4 linked regions of the Macaca fascicularis genome follow. Each later gene encodes a partner of the first gene's protein in a complex. Links are inferred from orthologs where the notes say so. Each region holds a gene or a part of one and is shown on either strand. Other genes may lie near its edges. The genes, in order: ITGB3, FLNA, SHC1 and ITGA2B.

Region 1 (3,558 bases):
AGTGGGCTATACGTATCCACGGGAGGAAAGCTCATCATGAGCTGGGATGGCCAAGGAAGTCTCCTGAAGGAGGTGGGGCCTAAGCTGGGCCCTAAGAAAGGAGGAGGATTACCAACAAGAAGGCAACTCCAGGTGGGAGACAGTGGACCAGATCACTGCTGAGTGGAAGAGGGAGAGAGGTGAGTAATATTTGGAAAGAAAGACTGAGACCACACGGTGGAGGATCATGAGGGCCAGGCCAAGGCATCGGTCAGTAGTTCCAAAACAGAGGCCTAACCCAGTGCCTTGTGCAGGGAAGCAGCTCCATTGTATTAGTGCATTAAATTCAAGCAGGAAGAAAGAGGTGCTTAGTTTTGACACCACTGGCCTGCACCTCTTTGTCTATCCCTGGAGTTCACAAGTAGACTTCTGTGCTACTTACCCTTCTTGTCTCACTGTACCCCCCGCCCCCCACTCTTTTTTTAGTTTTAGAGACAGAGTCTTGCTCTGCTGCCTGGGCTGGAGTGCAGTGGTGCAGTCATAGCTCACTGTAACCTCCAACTCCTGGGCTGAAGCGATCCTCCTGCCTCAGCTTACCCAGTAGCTAGGACTGTAGGCACTTACCACCACATCTGGCAAATTAAATTTTTTTTTTTTTTTGTAGAGATGGGGCCTTGCTATGTTGCCCAGGCTCTTGTCTCACTTTCAGCATGAAGTGAAAAGGTTTAAGCACCACAACTCTCTGAGCCACAGCCCAAGCAAGATAAGTTCTAAGGTTTAGACCCTAGGGATGTACATGGCACTTCATTAACTTCTACATCCTTCATTTTTCTAGGATTATCCCTCTTTGGGGCTGATGACTGAGAAGCTCTCCCAGAAAAACATCAATTTGATCTTTGCAGTGACTGAAAATGTAGTCAATCTCTATCAGGTGACTGTGCCTTCGGGCTTCCTGGAGTGGGCCCTGTGATGGTGGGAGCCCCAGGTAGCCAGCCTGTGCTAGCGTTGGCCATAGTCCCCAACCAGGAAAGACTCTCCCCTAATCCACTGCCCAGGAGCTAAAGATTGCACTCTGGGCCTTTTTCCTGCAACCTTGAACTTACGAGGTGTGTGCTGGTGTTTGTGGTGATGGAGGGGAGGTGGCAAAGGGTATGAGAGGCTTCCTCTACTTTTGCTCAGGGCTGAAAAACTGCTAGATATATTCCTGGCAGTGACCACTGAAATATCCCATACCTTCCTCCAATCTTCATCTCAGGACTCTCAGTGGGATTTGAGGAGGGCTTTAGGAGACCACCACCTTCCTTCGGTAAGCTCTGGACATCTTTGTCGTCCTTTCTAGAACTATAGTGAGCTCATCCCAGGGACCACAGTCGGGGTTCTGTCCATGGATTCCAGCAATGTCCTCCAGCTCATTGTTGATGCTTATGGGGTAAGTGTCTTGTGCTGGGAATAGTCCTGCGGAGAGTCCACCTCATTTGGCTTACACAGCAGGGCTCAGGTTTGTGAGTCCCAGGTGCCAGTCTACCACACGATCTTACTGCCTTCTCCGTGTGCTCCCAGAGGCCAGGCAGTGGTCTGCTCTAGAAGGGATGCAGCCTTCTGAGAAGGAAGTAGCCCAGAAAGAAAGAAAGAAAGGGGATGGGGATGGGGATGGTGATTAGTTGGAGAAGGAGCAGAGCCCTGGAATTGGGGCAGAGTGAGGGAAAACTGGGCTCCAATAACAGGGAAAAGAGAGAGCTGAGACATGGGGAAGGTGAGGTTGATGAAACATTAGGTAGAAAATGCTGCTTTCCAAGGTGACCAGTACTCCCCTTTCGCAACATCTGTGAGGCGTGCGGGAGGGTGTAGCTGGTACATTTTACCCAGACTCACCTAGACGCAAGTGGAGATGGAAAGAGGGAGCAGGTTCCTGTGCAGGAAACAGAGGAGGAAACAGAGTCCTAGGGGTGCTCCGGCAGCTTCCAGGTCAAACCTTGGCCTCTGGCACTGCTGGGGTAAGTCCAGAGCTACTTGGCAGATTTGGTTTGGGATGGAACTGGCTCTTGCCATTTCCCATTTCCTTTCAGTTCATTTTCTTGTCTTCTTGTGCCCCTTTGTGCTCAGAAAATCCGCTCTAAAGTCGAGCTGGAAGTGCGTGACCTCCCTGAAGAATTGTCTCTATCCTTCAATGCCACCTGCCTCAACAATGAGGTCATCCCTGGCCTCAAGTCTTGTATGGGACTCAAGATTGGAGACACGGTGAGATGGGCTGGGCAGGGCCTTTGTACTGGAGCATCTGTGAGCACCCAACCCCCTTTCTTCTTTTTGTAATGACTAAAAATGGCCCCCTTCCGCCAGAAAAAATATGGGCAGGAAAAATACCTTTCCTGAAAGTCATTTCAAGTTAGATGTAATGGATCCACCAATCTTTTCCTCTGGGGCTTCTGTTGCATAAGCTATTTCTGTTACGTGAACTTAACTCTTAGGAATTTAAAAAACTTACAATTTGGTTACCTTTGTTTGTGTATGCACAGTTGATTGCAAAGGAAAATATTTCTTTACCTTCAGTCCCTCACCAGTCTCCAGCTTTCCCAAGGTAATTAATACCTTTCTTTTGTAAAATGACACAGGAAAGTAAAATCTAAAATGTAAAACGACGACATCATCTATAAATATTTATTGAGCACTGACATTGTGTCAGGCATTGTTCTAGTTGCCGAGAATTTAGCAGCAAATGGAAAAGGCAAGAGTACCTACCCTCATGGAATTTTTGAAGCCAGATGTTCATTTCACCATCCAGTCCCTCCACGACTTTCCTTATCGGTCGTTTCTCCTCTGCTTCTGCCTAAGGGGAGAGGAGTTGGTGGGAGGGGAGGAAGGAGGGGAAGAAAATAGATCTTTGGATGCAGTGATCCTTTCTCTTAATCTATCTATCTTTCAGGCACTTGTGCAAACATCCCATGTTAGAAATATTGTCCTGAAACATGCTTTATTGCATAAACTATAAAATGTGTGGAAATTGAAGTAGATCCTGAGCTTATGGTTGACCACTATGTGGGATTGTGTGGTGCAAAACAGTGCTTTGTGCATCTTGCTGATAATTATAATCAGTCCAGCTTGCTTAGCTGGCCAGAGCAGGGTGTTTATATGATCACAGGTTCTGTTCAGTTTCAGCTGGTCTATTTCACACGTGAAGTAAAAAAACAGCCTTTTATTATTTATTGACTGTAGACCATGTCTCTGCATCCAGCTACATATGTCACAATGATACTATTCCCGTGCTTGTGTTTTTGCTTTGCAGACCTTCACAGAGGTGGAGGTCTGTGGAACCTGTGGAAGGTTTGCTTTGCAGACCTTCCACAAAGCCTGAGGAACTCCATATTGCAAAAGCATAAGACACCCAATTTGGGTATTCCTTGGCAGGGCAGGGAACAACTTTTTTTTCCCTCCAGAGCTGGAGTGTTAACTGGGCCCAACTGTGTCTAAATACAATCTTGCTTTCCATCCAGGTGAGCTTCAGCATTGAGGCCAAGGTGCGAGGCTGCCCCCAGGAGAAGGAGAAGTCCTTTACCATCAAGCCCGTGGGCTTCAAGGACAGCC
Region 2 (3,558 bases), on another chromosome or scaffold:
TCCAGAATGGAGACTAAAACATCCCACACTCCCCACATGACAATAGGCACAGCCAGGGAGCTTGGCACCCATCCTCAGCCCCAGGGCCTGTCCAGCACTAGGAGGAGCTCACCTGGGTGTTCTCAAGTTTTTATCCTATACCTGCCCCATGAGAATATTACAGGTGGGGAAACTGAGGCACAAAAGGCTTTGGTGACATGCTCAAAGTTAACAGCAAGTGCATGTCTGGGGAAGCCTGTGCCTGTCACCACTATCCTAAGGTAGTCACAACCTTAGCGAACCAAAGACAGGGGCCCTGTCCTTCCCTGCCCTCCTTGGTGCAGCTCCCCAGGGATATCAGACACTGGCCACCACAGCCCACACTCCAGCCTCCCAGGCCCAGGCCCCCTTGCCTCCCCTGCTTGTTCCTGGAGCTCACCGTGATCTGGACAGCCAGCAGGCCCTCCCCAGCATCCTTTGCATCGATGGTGAACTCCACGGGCAGGCTGGCGGGCACGCCAGTGGTGTTGAGTCCGGGGCCACTGGCCTTCACCTTGCTGGCATCATGAGTAGGCAGCACCTTGACCTTGAAGGGGCTGTGGGTATGGGTGTTGTGACGAGCAGTCAGACAGGTTCTCAACATCCAGCCTGGGCTACTCCCCACAGGCAGCAGGCCCTGCCTCTTACCTCCGGGGCACCTCTTCATCTCCATACAGTACTGAGATGCTGTAGGGCCCTTCTCGGCTGGGCACATAATTGACAGTCTGGGTGCCATCAGCGTTGTCCACCACGTCCACTGGCTCCACCAGGCCTGGCCCCAGCCCCAGGGACAGAGCCTCAGCTAGTCTCCTAGGCCTCCATTCCTATCCCACCACACTGGACTGCCAGGACCCAGCCCCAGGCCTAGACCTCGCTTTATCCTCATCCGCCCGACCCTGGGAATAGCCTTGACCCCCTCTGACACAAGACACCCATCTGGGTGCCAGCTGGGAACCTTGCCCGCCTGCCTTCCTGCCACATCTGCTCAGTGACCAAGTCCCATCTGCTCTACCTCCTCTAAGTCCCCTCCTGGATGCACTGTCATCTGAGGCTCTTCCGAAAACACCTGTACACTTGCACTCTGGGCCTCCAGTCTCCTTTCCCAGCCCTCAAAGAGGACACTGCCCTCCCGACCCCCGGCTCCAGGCATGCAAACACTCACCTTTGGGCCCTTGCACTTTGACCTGCAGTGGGGCCACACCAGCCTTGCTTGTGTCCACCTGGAAGGACTGAGGAAGGTTGGCACGAACCATGCCTGGGCTCAGGCCGGGCCCAGAGCACTTGACCTTGGACGCATCTGTCACATCATGCACAGGGACCTTGAAAGGACTGCCTGAGGGTTGGGGCAAAGGTATGGCAGCTGTATGAGACAGGGTGGGGTGGAGCAGACAGTCCCAGCCCTGCCCTGGCTGCCACCTCCTCACCTGGCACTTGATGGCCACCATAGGTGACATTGAGGCTGTAGGTGCCAGCCTCATAAGGAATGTACTCAACTGAGCAGCTGCCATCCTTGTTATCCATGCAGGACATCTTGGCCTCGGAGGGGCCCTCTACAGCCAGGCCCAGGCCGCCCGTGCCAGCTCCCCTGGTCCAAACAGACAGCCGGTCATTCCTGGGGTTCCCAGGCCTACTGGCCACCCAGGCTCCTGGGGGCTCCCTCACCTGGTCTCCACAGTGAACTTGTTGGGCTTGTTGGTGGTGCCACTTTGGATGCCTGGCCCATGGACACGCACCCGGGAGGGGTCGCAGCCCTCAGTCACGGGCACCTGGAAGGGGCTGCTGGGCACGGGGCTGCCGTCGTAGGTCACGTCCACCGAGTGCAGTCCTGGAGGAGTGCAGGCCAGGTCAGGAGGAGCCCGGGCCACCCCACCCACCACCGTCCACCAGCCTGTGGGAGCCCCAGCACGCACCCTCCTCGTAAGGCGTGTACTCCACTTTGTACGTGCCGTCGCCTCGGTCCTGAACGTAGGTCTCTGTCAGGTTGCCTGAGGGGTTGGCCACACGGGCCTTGACGTGCGGCCCTCCGGTCTGTGTCAGAGCCCGGGCGTCCACACTGAACTCAGTGGTGGCCTCACGGAAGACACCTGCAAAGGGACACAGAGAGGAGGCTTGGGGCTCTGGGGTTCTGGTCCCTGTGTCCCCGCTGCCACATACCCCACGGCAGGGCAACTCACCCTGGCCCTCAATCCCAGGCCCGTAACACTGGACGCCGGAAGTGTCCACTGCGGGCTCCACCTGCAGCTTGCTGGGGAAGTTGGGCACAGGCTGGCCGCCGTACTTGATGGTGACAGTGTAGGCCCCGGGGCAGAGAGGAATGTATGTGATAGTGTGCGTGCCGTCGCCGTGGTCCTGGATGTACACCTCGGCTGGCAGCCCCGCCTCTGAGCAGATCTCAATGGTCAGCTCTGCACTGCCTGCACTCGAGCAGTCTACTTGGAATTGGCCCACTTCCCCAGCGGTGGCCCGCTCCAGCCCAGGGCCTGAGCACTTGACTTTGGATGCGTCAAAGCAGGGAACCACATGGGCCTTGAATGGGGAGCCAGGGATGTGGGTGTCAGCGAAGAGGATGTTGATGTTGTAGTCCCCGGGCTCGGTGGGCACATAGGACACGGAACATGTGCCGTCCCCGTTGTCCAAGCACTCGAGCTGTGCCTCGCAGGGGCCCTCCACTGTCAAGCCCAGGCCACCTGTGCCGGCGCCCTTGGTGTCAATGGTGAAGCGGGCGGGGGAGCCTGCACTGCCTCCCTGCAGCCCCGGCCCAAACGCCTTCACCTGAGGGAAGAAGGGGTCAGGAGCCAAGGCCATGCTATGCCCCTGACCCCAGACCTCCTGCCTGACTCTCCACCTGCCTCCCCTTGCCCTGGCTTCCTGCCCTCACCAAACAGGGATGCTGGCGGGCCCAGGCTGCCTGCCAGATGGGCCATCCATCAGTCATAAGGACAAAAAGGAGGGACGGGCGCGGTGGCTCACACTTATAATCCCAGCCCTTTGGGAGGCCAAGGCAGGTGGATCACCTGAGATCAGGAGTTTGAGAACAGCCTGGCCAACATGGTGAAATCTCGTCTCTACTAAAAATACAAAAATTAGCCAGGCGTGGTGGCAGGCACCTGTAACCCCAGCTACTTGGGAGGCTGAGGCAGGAGTATCGCTTAAAGCCGGGAGGCAGAAGGTGCAGTGAGCTGAGATCACGCCAGTGCACTTCAGCCTGGGCGACAGAGTGAGACTCTTTCTCAAAAAAAAGAAAAAAAAAAAAAGAAACAAAAATGCTTTAACCCTGATGACTTTTTGTGGGTTTCTATTTCCCTCCTCCCCTTTACTCTCACTTAAACTGGGTCAAGGTTAACAGTCTGTCTCAGAAAAAAAAAAAAAAGGAGGATTGAGGGCAGGTCTGGAGAAGATGGGGTGCTCTCTGGGCCCTCAGAGAACACAGTAGGTTCTACCCTTAGGGCCTCCCATACCCCAGTTACCTTGCTAGGCTTGGTAGGGGCCACAGCTTCCACAGGAAAGGGGCTGCCAGGCACAGGCACGCCGTCATAGGTC
Region 3 (4,342 bases), on another chromosome or scaffold:
TTTTGAGGCAGAGTTTTGCTCTTGTCACCCAGGCTGGAGTGCAATGGCACGATCTCAGCTCACTGCAACCTCCACCTCCTGGGTTCAAGCGATTCTCCTGCCTCAGCCTCCCGAGCTGGGATTACAGGTGCTCACCACCACGCCCAGCTAATTTTTGTAGTTTTAGTAGAGACGGGGTTTCACCATGTTGACCAGGCTGGTCTCAATCTTCTGACTTCAGGTGATCCACCCGCCTCGGCCTCCCAAAGTGCTGGGATTACAGGTGTGAGCCACCTTACCCAGCGGGAATATGTATCTTTAACTTGTTTTTTGTTTTTTGGTCGCTTTCCAGCTTTGCCTATGGCATTCTCCAGAAGAGCAGTGGCAGGAAGCCGTGGGTGGCAGGAATGAGTTTGGGACTGTTCCCTGTGTCCAGCTTCAACCCATCTTCTCCTGACACCCCTTTCTCCTGTGCTTACTTGTTTTTTCTCCTGTTCTTATTGACACAGATGTGTCTTCTGATCTCTCTGTCCCTTCCTGGCCTGTCGTTTCTGCTTCTCTTGGAGAACTGTTTCTTCCACCTCCTCCAGCCAGGCTCCTCCCCTGGTGTGAGGGACACTGTGCTGTTTGGTGGGGCTTTGGGTCCTGTAAGAGGAGGGATATGAATTGGGGTGGTTTGGAGTGGGAGTGGGGACCTGATTGCCTCATTCTCACCCTTGACAGTGTGCTGTGTTAACAAGGCCTGTGGAAAGGGGAGAGGACAGTGCTTGGCTATGAGCCATGGGTCTTGGTGTGGTAGATGGCATACATAGAGAACAAGCCGTGACCAGCATGTCCTCTTGTTCCCCTCTTGCCTGGTAGCTTCCTGATGTACCATCCAGGTTGGACTTTATTCCCCTTTTTTCACCAACTTTGCTTCTCCTCTTGACCCTGCTCTGCATCCATTGGGACCACTTCCTTCCCATCCCCACTTCGCTAGCTCCAGTCCACAGCTGTCGTAGCAGAGGATGCTAATGGCCCAGGCTTACTGTATGGGGTAGTGGTTGGGGGTGGCCTGGGCTGGAGGGTGGGGAATTCGAGTGTCCAACCAGAACAGGAAGGGAAATGCTGAGCTCTGAGATCTCCTCCCTTTTCCACCCGCAGCTGCCTCTGTTTCCTCCCTCATTCCCCTCTACTCTAGCCTGGCTTCCTGCCCCCTTTGGCCTGCCTGTGTCCGGTTTCGAGTGACCCAGACCTCCTATCTCCTTTCTTTCCATCCAACTCCTCCATGCTTCCCTCCCACCCCCACTTTCCTTCTCCCCAGATTACTAGTTGTTTGTGTAGGGCAGGGGAGAGGAGCTTGGATAGCCCTACCCTCTGCTCCAGTCCGAGGTTGGGGCGGGGTGGGGGCTCAGCCCCTCTGAGCCTGTGAGTCAGCACTGTCCTCGTGATTGGTCTCTCCCTTTAGCTCTCCGCCCCTGGGGAGGAGCCAGGCAGCTCTGGGTCCAGCCTGTTCTCTTCTCAGCCAGAGAAGAGGCTCCACGTTGGGCGGGGATGGGGCCCGAAACTGTCTGGGTCTGAGCTGGGGAGCGGAAGCCACTTGTCCCTCTCCCTCCCCAGGACTTCTGTGACTCCTGGGCCACAGAGGTCCGACCAGGCTAAGGGCCTGGGAATACCCCCTGCCTGGCCCCCTTGCCCAAACTGGCAGGGGGGCCAGGCCGGGCAGCAGCCCCTCTCTCACCTCAGCTATGGATCTCCTGCCCCCCAAGCCCAAGTACAATCCACTCCGGAATGAGTCTCTGTCATCGCTGGAGGAGGGGGCTTCAGGGTCCACCCCCCCGGAGGAGCTGCCTTCCCCATCAGCTTCATCCCTGGGGCCCATCCTGCCTCCTCTGCCTGGGGACGATAGTCCCACTACTCTGTGCTCCTTCTTCCCCCGGATGAGCAACCTGAGGCTGGCCAACCCGGCTGGGGGGCGCCCAGGGTCTAAGGGGGAGCCAGGAAGGGCAGCCGATGATGGGGAGGGGATCGTAGGGGCAGCCATGCCAGACTCAGGCCCCCTACCCCTCCTCCAGGACATGAACAAGCTGAGTGGAGGCGGCGGGCGCAGGACTCGGGTGGAAGGGGGCCAGCTGGGGGGCGAGGAGTGGACCCGCCACGGGAGCTTTGTCAATAAGCCCACGCGGGGCTGGCTGCATCCCAACGACAAAGTCATGGGACCCGGGGTTTCCTACTTGGTTCGGGTGAGTGAACATCCTCCTTTCCATTGCCTCCCAGACCCCTCCAGTTCTTCTGCTCACTCCAGCTTGGCTGGAATTCTTTTTTCCTGCTGTTCCCCAACAACCCTGTTTCAGTGTTCTATTTCCTAAACCTTTCCCATCCCTTCCCCAATTCTGTAGCCCTTTCCCTTCCAGCTCTGCCTGGGCCCCCTTCCTTCTTTTGACTCCCCTACCCCCACCCTGCCATGCTTAGCACAATGCCCAGCATGGCAGAAGCTCTTAATAAGTGCTGGAAGGAGTGACTTCTTGATCCTTTCCTCCATTCTCCTCTCGCTTTCTGGAGTTGTTGCTCCATCCCAGTCAGTGCCTGTCAGTCCCCTCCAAACTCTCTCCCCAGTGCGTGAGGTCCTTCTAGCCTGCCTTTTCTTTCTCTGCTCGTTCCCTGTTGTCTTTCACCTTGGTTGTGGGATGTAGACACGGAAGAGGGCAGAACTTCTTCCTCTTTACTTCTCTTAGGGACCATATGGGCAAAGTCCTAGGGCCCTTTGTGAAGGGACTGGGGTCAGGGAGCGGCTGACCTGCTGTCCTCTCCTCCCTCCCCTTAGTACATGGGCTGTGTGGAGGTCCTTCAGTCAATGCGTGCCCTGGACTTCAACACCCGGACTCAGGTTACCAGGTTAGTGGGGAGGGAGTGGACTGTGGGAGTCCTGGGATTAGTGAGGCCATGGGAAAGGGCGGAGGGGAGTGGGTCACTTGGGTGCTGCTGGTTGGGGCTGATCTTTGGGTAGTAAAGGGGATTGAGAGAAAGCTGGGATAGTGATTCTGCCTCTTACTGAAAGGAGGCCCCTCTGGCCCGGATCCTCCTTACCTGTCCAGCCTTGGGAGTTGTGGGGAAGGTAGCAGAAGCAGCTGGCAGGTGGAGCTGGAGTAGCAAATGGGGGTAGATGGAAGGTTGCTGCTGCCTTTGGGAAGGGAATGGGACATTTGGTAGCTGGAAGGGGGTGGGGCTATACCCATTGAGGCCCTAACCCAATCAGCCAGGAAGCGGCCTCTCAGTGTCATCAAATATTAAAGGCCCTTAATTCAATCCACCACGACAAAGAGCCTGGAGTGCCCTGGGAGTCTGGCCTGGCTTTCCCCTCCCCCAGCTCTGTGGCAGCCCCAGTTGAGTGGGAGGCAGGCAGGCAGGCGCTGGGTCTGAGTACCCCTCTTTCCCCAGGGAGGCCATCAGTCTGGTGTGTGAGGCTGTGCCGGGTGCTAAGGGGGCGACAAGGAGGAGAAAGGTACTTGGGGTCCTTGGGGATAGGGATGCTGCTGGGAAATGTGGAGGGACAGTGAGGAGGCAAGTGTGGGGCATGTGGGGAGAGGGCCAGGAGACAAGAGTATGGTTTGTCTGTGCTGGGAACCCTCACCTTCTAAGACCCTGGGCCCTACCTTAGCCCTGTAGCCGCCCGCTCAGCTCTATCCTGGGGAGGAGTAATCTGAAATTTGCTGGAATGCCAATCACTCTCACCGTCTCCACCAGCAGCCTCAACCTCATGGCCGCAGACTGCAAACAGGTTGGTGGAGGTGGGCAGGTGGACCAGAAACACCGATGGGGGTGCTAAGGGGAGATCTAGTTAGGAGGCCAAAAACTAGGAAGAGGGCTTGAGAGCAGAAGACCAGTAGGGAAGGAGGAAATGAGGATATGGGATAAGGAACCCAGAGAATGAGACTGGGGCACCAGGGTTCTGGGCCCTGAGGCTGCCTGACACATGGCATTCCCTTCCTTCTCCATCCCCTCCCCTAATTCTCAGATCATCGCCAACCACCACATGCAATCTATCTCATTTGCATCCGGCGGGGATCCGGTGAGTTGGGGAACAGAGCAAAGGTGGTGGGAGAAGAGCAAGGGGCTAGTGATTGGGAAGACATTGATTAGAGAAGTGGGGGTGCTAGGACTGTGGGGATATCTGAAAAGGACTGGGTTTTAGGGGTCAGGAGTAAAGTGGAACTGTAAAATTTTCTGACCTTCCTCCCCAGGACACAGCCGAGTATGTCGCCTACGTTGCCAAAGACCCTGTGAATCAGAGAGGTGAGGCATGGTGGGGAGCACTGGGTGGGTCTGGCTGTTTGAGGTGAGTAGGACCTGGGGTCATTTGTACCCACTCTAAGTAGATCTAAGT
Region 4 (3,558 bases), about 2.8 Mb from region 1:
ACCTGGGGTGCTAAATGGAGAGCAGATGGGAGAGATGAAGGAGACTAATTAGGATGTGTTTGCCTTAATCCGGGCAAGAGACAATGACCACCTGGATGTGGATTTTGGCAGTGGAGTTAGAGATGGGAGTGACTTCACAGATATTTAGGACTTGGATTCTTAGGACTTGGTGGGAGACTGGATGTGGGGCCAGGGGAGAGATTGGAGTTGGGTGCCTGTGATGCCCTCCACTGCCTGGAACTCAGGCCGTGCAGCAGGTGCTGGGGAGAGGTGGGAGATCAGCAGTTTAGCTCTGGACCTGTTGAGCTTGAAGGGCTTGGGTGCTTTAGGCAGAAATATCCAAAGAACAGTGGGAGTGGCTTTCCCCGCTTCCACAAGATCGATCTGAATGGGAGACAGGGGTTTGGGGAAAGTGGATGAGGTCCCGGGACCTGTGAAATTAGAAGAGGCCCAGGATAGAGCCCTGGGGAGCAAAAGCATTTAGGTGACTCATACAGGAGGTGAGTCTGAGGAAGAGACGGAGAAGTGTCCAGAGAGGGAGGAGGGAACCCAGGGGGTGTGATGGCCAGGGACTCAAGGAAGAGCATGTGTTAAAAAGCATGTGCAGGAGGAAGTGGGTGCTGCAGCTCCTGATGCTGCTGCAAGGTACAATTCGATGGGGCTGGAGAAATATCCATGGGCTTTAGCAAGAAGAGGGTGCCGGGCACGATGGCTCATGCCTGTAATCCCAGCTACTTGTGAAATTGAGGCAGGAGAATCTCTGGAACCCAGGAAGTGGAGGTTGCACTGAGCTGAGATCGCGCCACTACTGCACTCCAGCATGGGCAACAGAGCAAGACTCCATGTCAGCGAAAGAAAGAAAGAGAGAAAGAGAAAGAGAGAGAGAGAGAGAAAAGAAAGAAAGAAAGAAAAAGAGGGGAGGAGGTTATTGGTGACAGTGACATAAATTGATTCAGGTCAAGGTAGGGTCAAAAGCCAGAATGCAATTGGGTAAGGTATGAATGGAGGTGAAAAATTGGAGGCAGCTAATGTAAACAGCTCTTTCAACAGGTTTGTGGTAAAAAGGAATTTGAGGAATAGAAAGAAAAAAAAAAGGACATGTTTGACTATGAGAGGAAAAAGAGAAAAGGTGATTATGGAAAAGAGATGAGGGTCAAGGGAAGATTATTTCAATGTGGAAGAACATGGAGTAGGTTGAAAATGATGTTGTGGGGAAATGGGGGGATGAGCCAGCAGAGAGTCCCTGTGATGCCTCAGGGAGTGGGAGGATGACTGGCCCAGTGTCAGGGTAAAGGAGGGAAACCTCTTCCAGGGTCAAATGGGGAAGCGGGAAGAAAGTCAGTATGGGATTATAGCATAACAGTGGGCTGCTTCTCTTCCTGAAGTAAGGGATTATGTCACCTGCTGAAGGAAATGACGGGGCTGGGAGCTTGATGGAATGGAGAGGTTAGAAATAGATGCTAGATGGCCAGGCACGGTGGCTCACACCCGGAATCCCAGCACTTTGGGAGGCCGAGGCAGGAGGATCACTTGAGCCGAAGAGTTTGAGACCAGCCTGGGCAACACAGGGATATCTTGTCTCTATAAAATTTTTTTAAAATTAGCTGGGCATGGTGGTTGTAGTCTCAACTGCTTGGGAAGCTGAGGTGGGAGGATCGCTTTAGCCCAGAAGGTTGAGGCTGCAGTAAGCCATGGTTGCACCACTGCACTCCAGCCTGAATGACAGAGCAAGACTGTCTTAAAAATAAAAAAATGTTAAAAGGTGGCTCACACCTGTAATCCCAGCACTTTGGGAGCCCAAAGTGAGCAGATCACTTGAGGTCAGGAGTTCGAGACCAGCCTGGCCAATGTGGTGAAACCCTGTTTCTACTAAAAATACAAAAATTAGCCGAGCATGGTGGTAGGCGTCTGTAATCCCAGCTACTAGAGAGGCTGAGGCACAAGAATCACTTTAACGGGGGAGGCACAGGTTGCAGTGAGCCGAGATCGCACCACTGCACTCCAGCCTGGACAACAGAGCAAGGCTCTATCTCAAATAATAATAATAATAATAATAAATTTAGAAAAAGGAATAATGATGCTTAATTTTCAGGATATATTTTCCTCAATAGACAGTGAGAGTTGTCACTGTTTTTATAACAATCCTACTTGGCAGGTCCCTCTCCCACCTGATTGTCAACTCCTGGAGGGTAAGGCAGCGCCTCCTTCACCTACCCTTTGTACCCCTTTCCCGGTCTCCTGGGATGTGCCCAGAGAAGCTCAGGAAAGCTTTACAGTCATCTAGGGAGGCTGAATAACAATCAGCCACTCCCTTTCTGTTACTCTTCCAGACATTGCAGTGGCTGCCCCCTACGGGGGTCCCAGTGGCCGGGGCCAAGTGCTGGTGTTCCTGGGTCAGAGTGAGGGGCTGAGTTCACGTCCCTCCCAGGTCCTGGACAGCCCCTTCCCCACAGGCTCTGCCTTTGGCTTCTCCCTTCGAGGTGCTGTAGACATCGATGACAACGGATACCCAGGTGCCCTAGACTGCCTCCAGTTAGAAATGCCCAAGAAAGGCCCTTGGACTTTTGCTGGAAGTGCCGAGAGACACAGCCAGGGGCTCATGGCTGGCCTGGTGTCCCACTGTGGACTGCCAGAGGGGCTGGGTGAAACCTCCAGTGGGGGAGGTGGTGTGGGGAAACCCCTGGGAAGATGAGATGAGGGATCCCACGCCCTCTCTAATGGCCAATTCTGACCCCTTCCTCGATGTCTGTAGACCTGATTGTGGGAGCTTACGGGGCCAACCAGGTGGCTGTGTACAGGTAAGCGCTGGCTCCAGGGGCAGGATGGGGAAGGTCCCATGCCATCAGAGGAGGCCAGGCCAGGAGGAGCCACAGTGGCAAGCCTACCCCATCACCCCATCCCATCAGAGCTCAGCCAGTGGTGAAGGCCTCCGTCCAGCTACTGGTACAAGATTCACTGAATCCTGCTGTGAAGAGCTGTGTCCTACCCCAGACCAAGACACCCGTGAGCTGGTGAGGAGGCAGAGGGCATGGGCCTTGAAGGATCTGGGACCTCAGAAAGGCCCCAACCCCTGAGCCCCACTTACGTCTTTGCAGCTTCAAAATCCAGATGTGTGTTGGAGCCACTGGGCACAACATTCCTCAGAAGCTGTGTGAGTGGCATGAAGGGGATAGGAGGGAGATGGGCTTGGACTCCCCCGGAGGCTGGCCAGGGAGGTCCTGACTCTTCTGCTTGCCCTGCCAGCCCTAAATGCCGAGCTGCAGTTGGACCGGCAGAAGCCCCGCCAGGGCCGGCGGGTGCTGCTGCTGGGCTCTCAACAGGCAGGCACCACCCTGAACCTGGATCTGGGCGGAAAGCACAGCCCCATCTGCCACACCACCATGGCCTTCCTTCGAGTACGCCCAGGCAGGGGATTGGCAGGGCTGGGCGAGTAGAACACACCCACTGCACTTGTTCTTCCAGCCCCAGGGTACTGAGCTGGGTGCTGTGAGTCCGGGGGTAGTCAGGACACGGTGCCTACTGGCCAGAAGGTGGGATGTGTATGGCAGCAAGATGGCC

Evidence for each region.
Region 2: the proteins of ITGB3 (region 1) and FLNA are in contact, whole or in part, in an NMR structure (PDB 2MTP), measured with the Homo sapiens proteins. The link is inferred for Macaca fascicularis from reciprocal best matches to the Homo sapiens genes ITGB3 and FLNA. Residues at the interface, in NP_000203.2 of Homo sapiens: Lys742, Ile745, Thr746, Pro771, Leu772, Tyr773, Lys774, Glu775, Ala776, Thr777, Ser778, Thr779, Ile783, Tyr785, Arg786, Gly787, Thr788; in NP_001104026.1 of Homo sapiens: Gly2236, Arg2264, Ala2268, Gly2269, Gly2270, Leu2271, Ala2272, Ile2273, Ala2274, Val2275, Glu2276, Gly2277, Pro2278, Ser2279, Lys2280, Ala2281, Ile2283, Phe2285, Asp2287, Gly2291.
Region 3: the proteins of ITGB3 (region 1) and SHC1 are in contact, whole or in part, in an NMR structure (PDB 2L1C), measured with the Homo sapiens proteins. The link is inferred for Macaca fascicularis from reciprocal best matches to the Homo sapiens genes ITGB3 and SHC1. Residues at the interface, in NP_000203.2 of Homo sapiens: Trp765, Asp766, Thr767, Ala768, Pro771, Leu772, Tyr773, Lys774, Glu775, Ala776, Thr777, Ser778, Thr779, Phe780, Thr781, Asn782, Ile783, Thr784, Tyr785, Arg786, Gly787, Thr788; in NP_892113.4 of Homo sapiens: Ser175, Met176, Arg177, Asn182, Arg184, Thr185, Gln186, Thr188, Arg189, Glu190, Ser193, Leu194, Arg208, Arg209, Lys210, Arg214, Pro215, Leu216, Ser217, Ile219, Met257, Gln258, Ser259, Ile260, Ser261, Phe262, Ala263, Ser264, Gly265, Pro268.
Region 4: the proteins of ITGB3 (region 1) and ITGA2B are in contact, whole or in part, in a cryo-EM structure (PDB 8GCE), measured with the Homo sapiens proteins. The link is inferred for Macaca fascicularis from reciprocal best matches to the Homo sapiens genes ITGB3 and ITGA2B. Residues at the interface, in NP_000203.2 of Homo sapiens: Ser188, Pro189, Tyr190, Tyr192, Ile193, Ser194, Pro195, Pro196, Tyr204, Asp205, Met206, Arg242, Asp243, Pro245, Lys279, His281, Ile282, Ala283, Leu284, Asp285, Arg287, Leu288, Ala289, Gly290, Val292, Gln293, Pro294, Asn295, Asp314, Tyr315; in NP_000410.2 of Homo sapiens: Gln49, Phe52, Arg72, Trp141, His143, Asn145, Glu152, Ala153, Glu154, Lys155, Pro157, Arg184, Phe191, Tyr197, Glu199, Phe202, Pro217, Tyr221, Phe222, Phe262, Asp263, Tyr265, Tyr268, Thr290, Trp293, Thr294, Gln315, Met316, Ala317, Tyr319.

Annotation. Positions count from the first base shown.
Region 1 is NC_088390.1:68,264,519-68,268,076, forward strand, and holds part of ITGB3 (integrin beta-3), read left to right. Parts: intron 1-814; coding exon 815-910; intron 911-1,318; coding exon 1,319-1,408; intron 1,409-2,082; coding exon 2,083-2,217; intron 2,218-3,467; coding exon 3,468-3,558. UniProt on the Homo sapiens protein: Integrin alpha-V/beta-3 (ITGAV:ITGB3) is a receptor for cytotactin, fibronectin, laminin, matrix metalloproteinase-2, osteopontin, osteomodulin, prothrombin, thrombospondin, vitronectin and von Willebrand factor.
Region 2 is NC_088395.1:160,372,399-160,375,956, reverse strand, and holds part of FLNA (filamin-A), read right to left. Parts: coding exon 3,486-3,558; intron 2,791-3,485; coding exon 2,193-2,790; intron 2,103-2,192; coding exon 1,929-2,102; intron 1,844-1,928; coding exon 1,681-1,843; intron 1,604-1,680; coding exon 1,443-1,603; intron 1,352-1,442; coding exon 1,181-1,351; intron 791-1,180; coding exon 667-790; intron 576-666; coding exon 419-575; intron 1-418. UniProt on the Homo sapiens protein: Promotes orthogonal branching of actin filaments and links actin filaments to membrane glycoproteins. Anchors various transmembrane proteins to the actin cytoskeleton and serves as a scaffold for a wide range of cytoplasmic signaling proteins.
Region 3 is NC_088375.1:106,174,633-106,178,974, forward strand, and holds the start of SHC1 (SHC-transforming protein 1), read left to right. Parts: upstream 1-1,485; 5' UTR 1,486-1,706; coding exon 1,707-2,201; intron 2,202-2,782; coding exon 2,783-2,853; intron 2,854-3,396; coding exon 3,397-3,460; intron 3,461-3,616; coding exon 3,617-3,736; intron 3,737-3,973; coding exon 3,974-4,027; intron 4,028-4,199; coding exon 4,200-4,251; intron 4,252-4,342. UniProt on the Homo sapiens protein: Signaling adapter that couples activated growth factor receptors to signaling pathways. Participates in a signaling cascade initiated by activated KIT and KITLG/SCF.
Region 4 is NC_088390.1:65,442,019-65,445,576, reverse strand, and holds part of ITGA2B (integrin alpha-IIb), read left to right. Parts: intron 1-2,330; coding exon 2,331-2,513; intron 2,514-2,752; coding exon 2,753-2,798; intron 2,799-2,906; coding exon 2,907-3,011; intron 3,012-3,095; coding exon 3,096-3,151; intron 3,152-3,243; coding exon 3,244-3,395; intron 3,396-3,558. UniProt on the Homo sapiens protein: Integrin alpha-IIb/beta-3 is a receptor for fibronectin, fibrinogen, plasminogen, prothrombin, thrombospondin and vitronectin. It recognizes the sequence R-G-D in a wide array of ligands.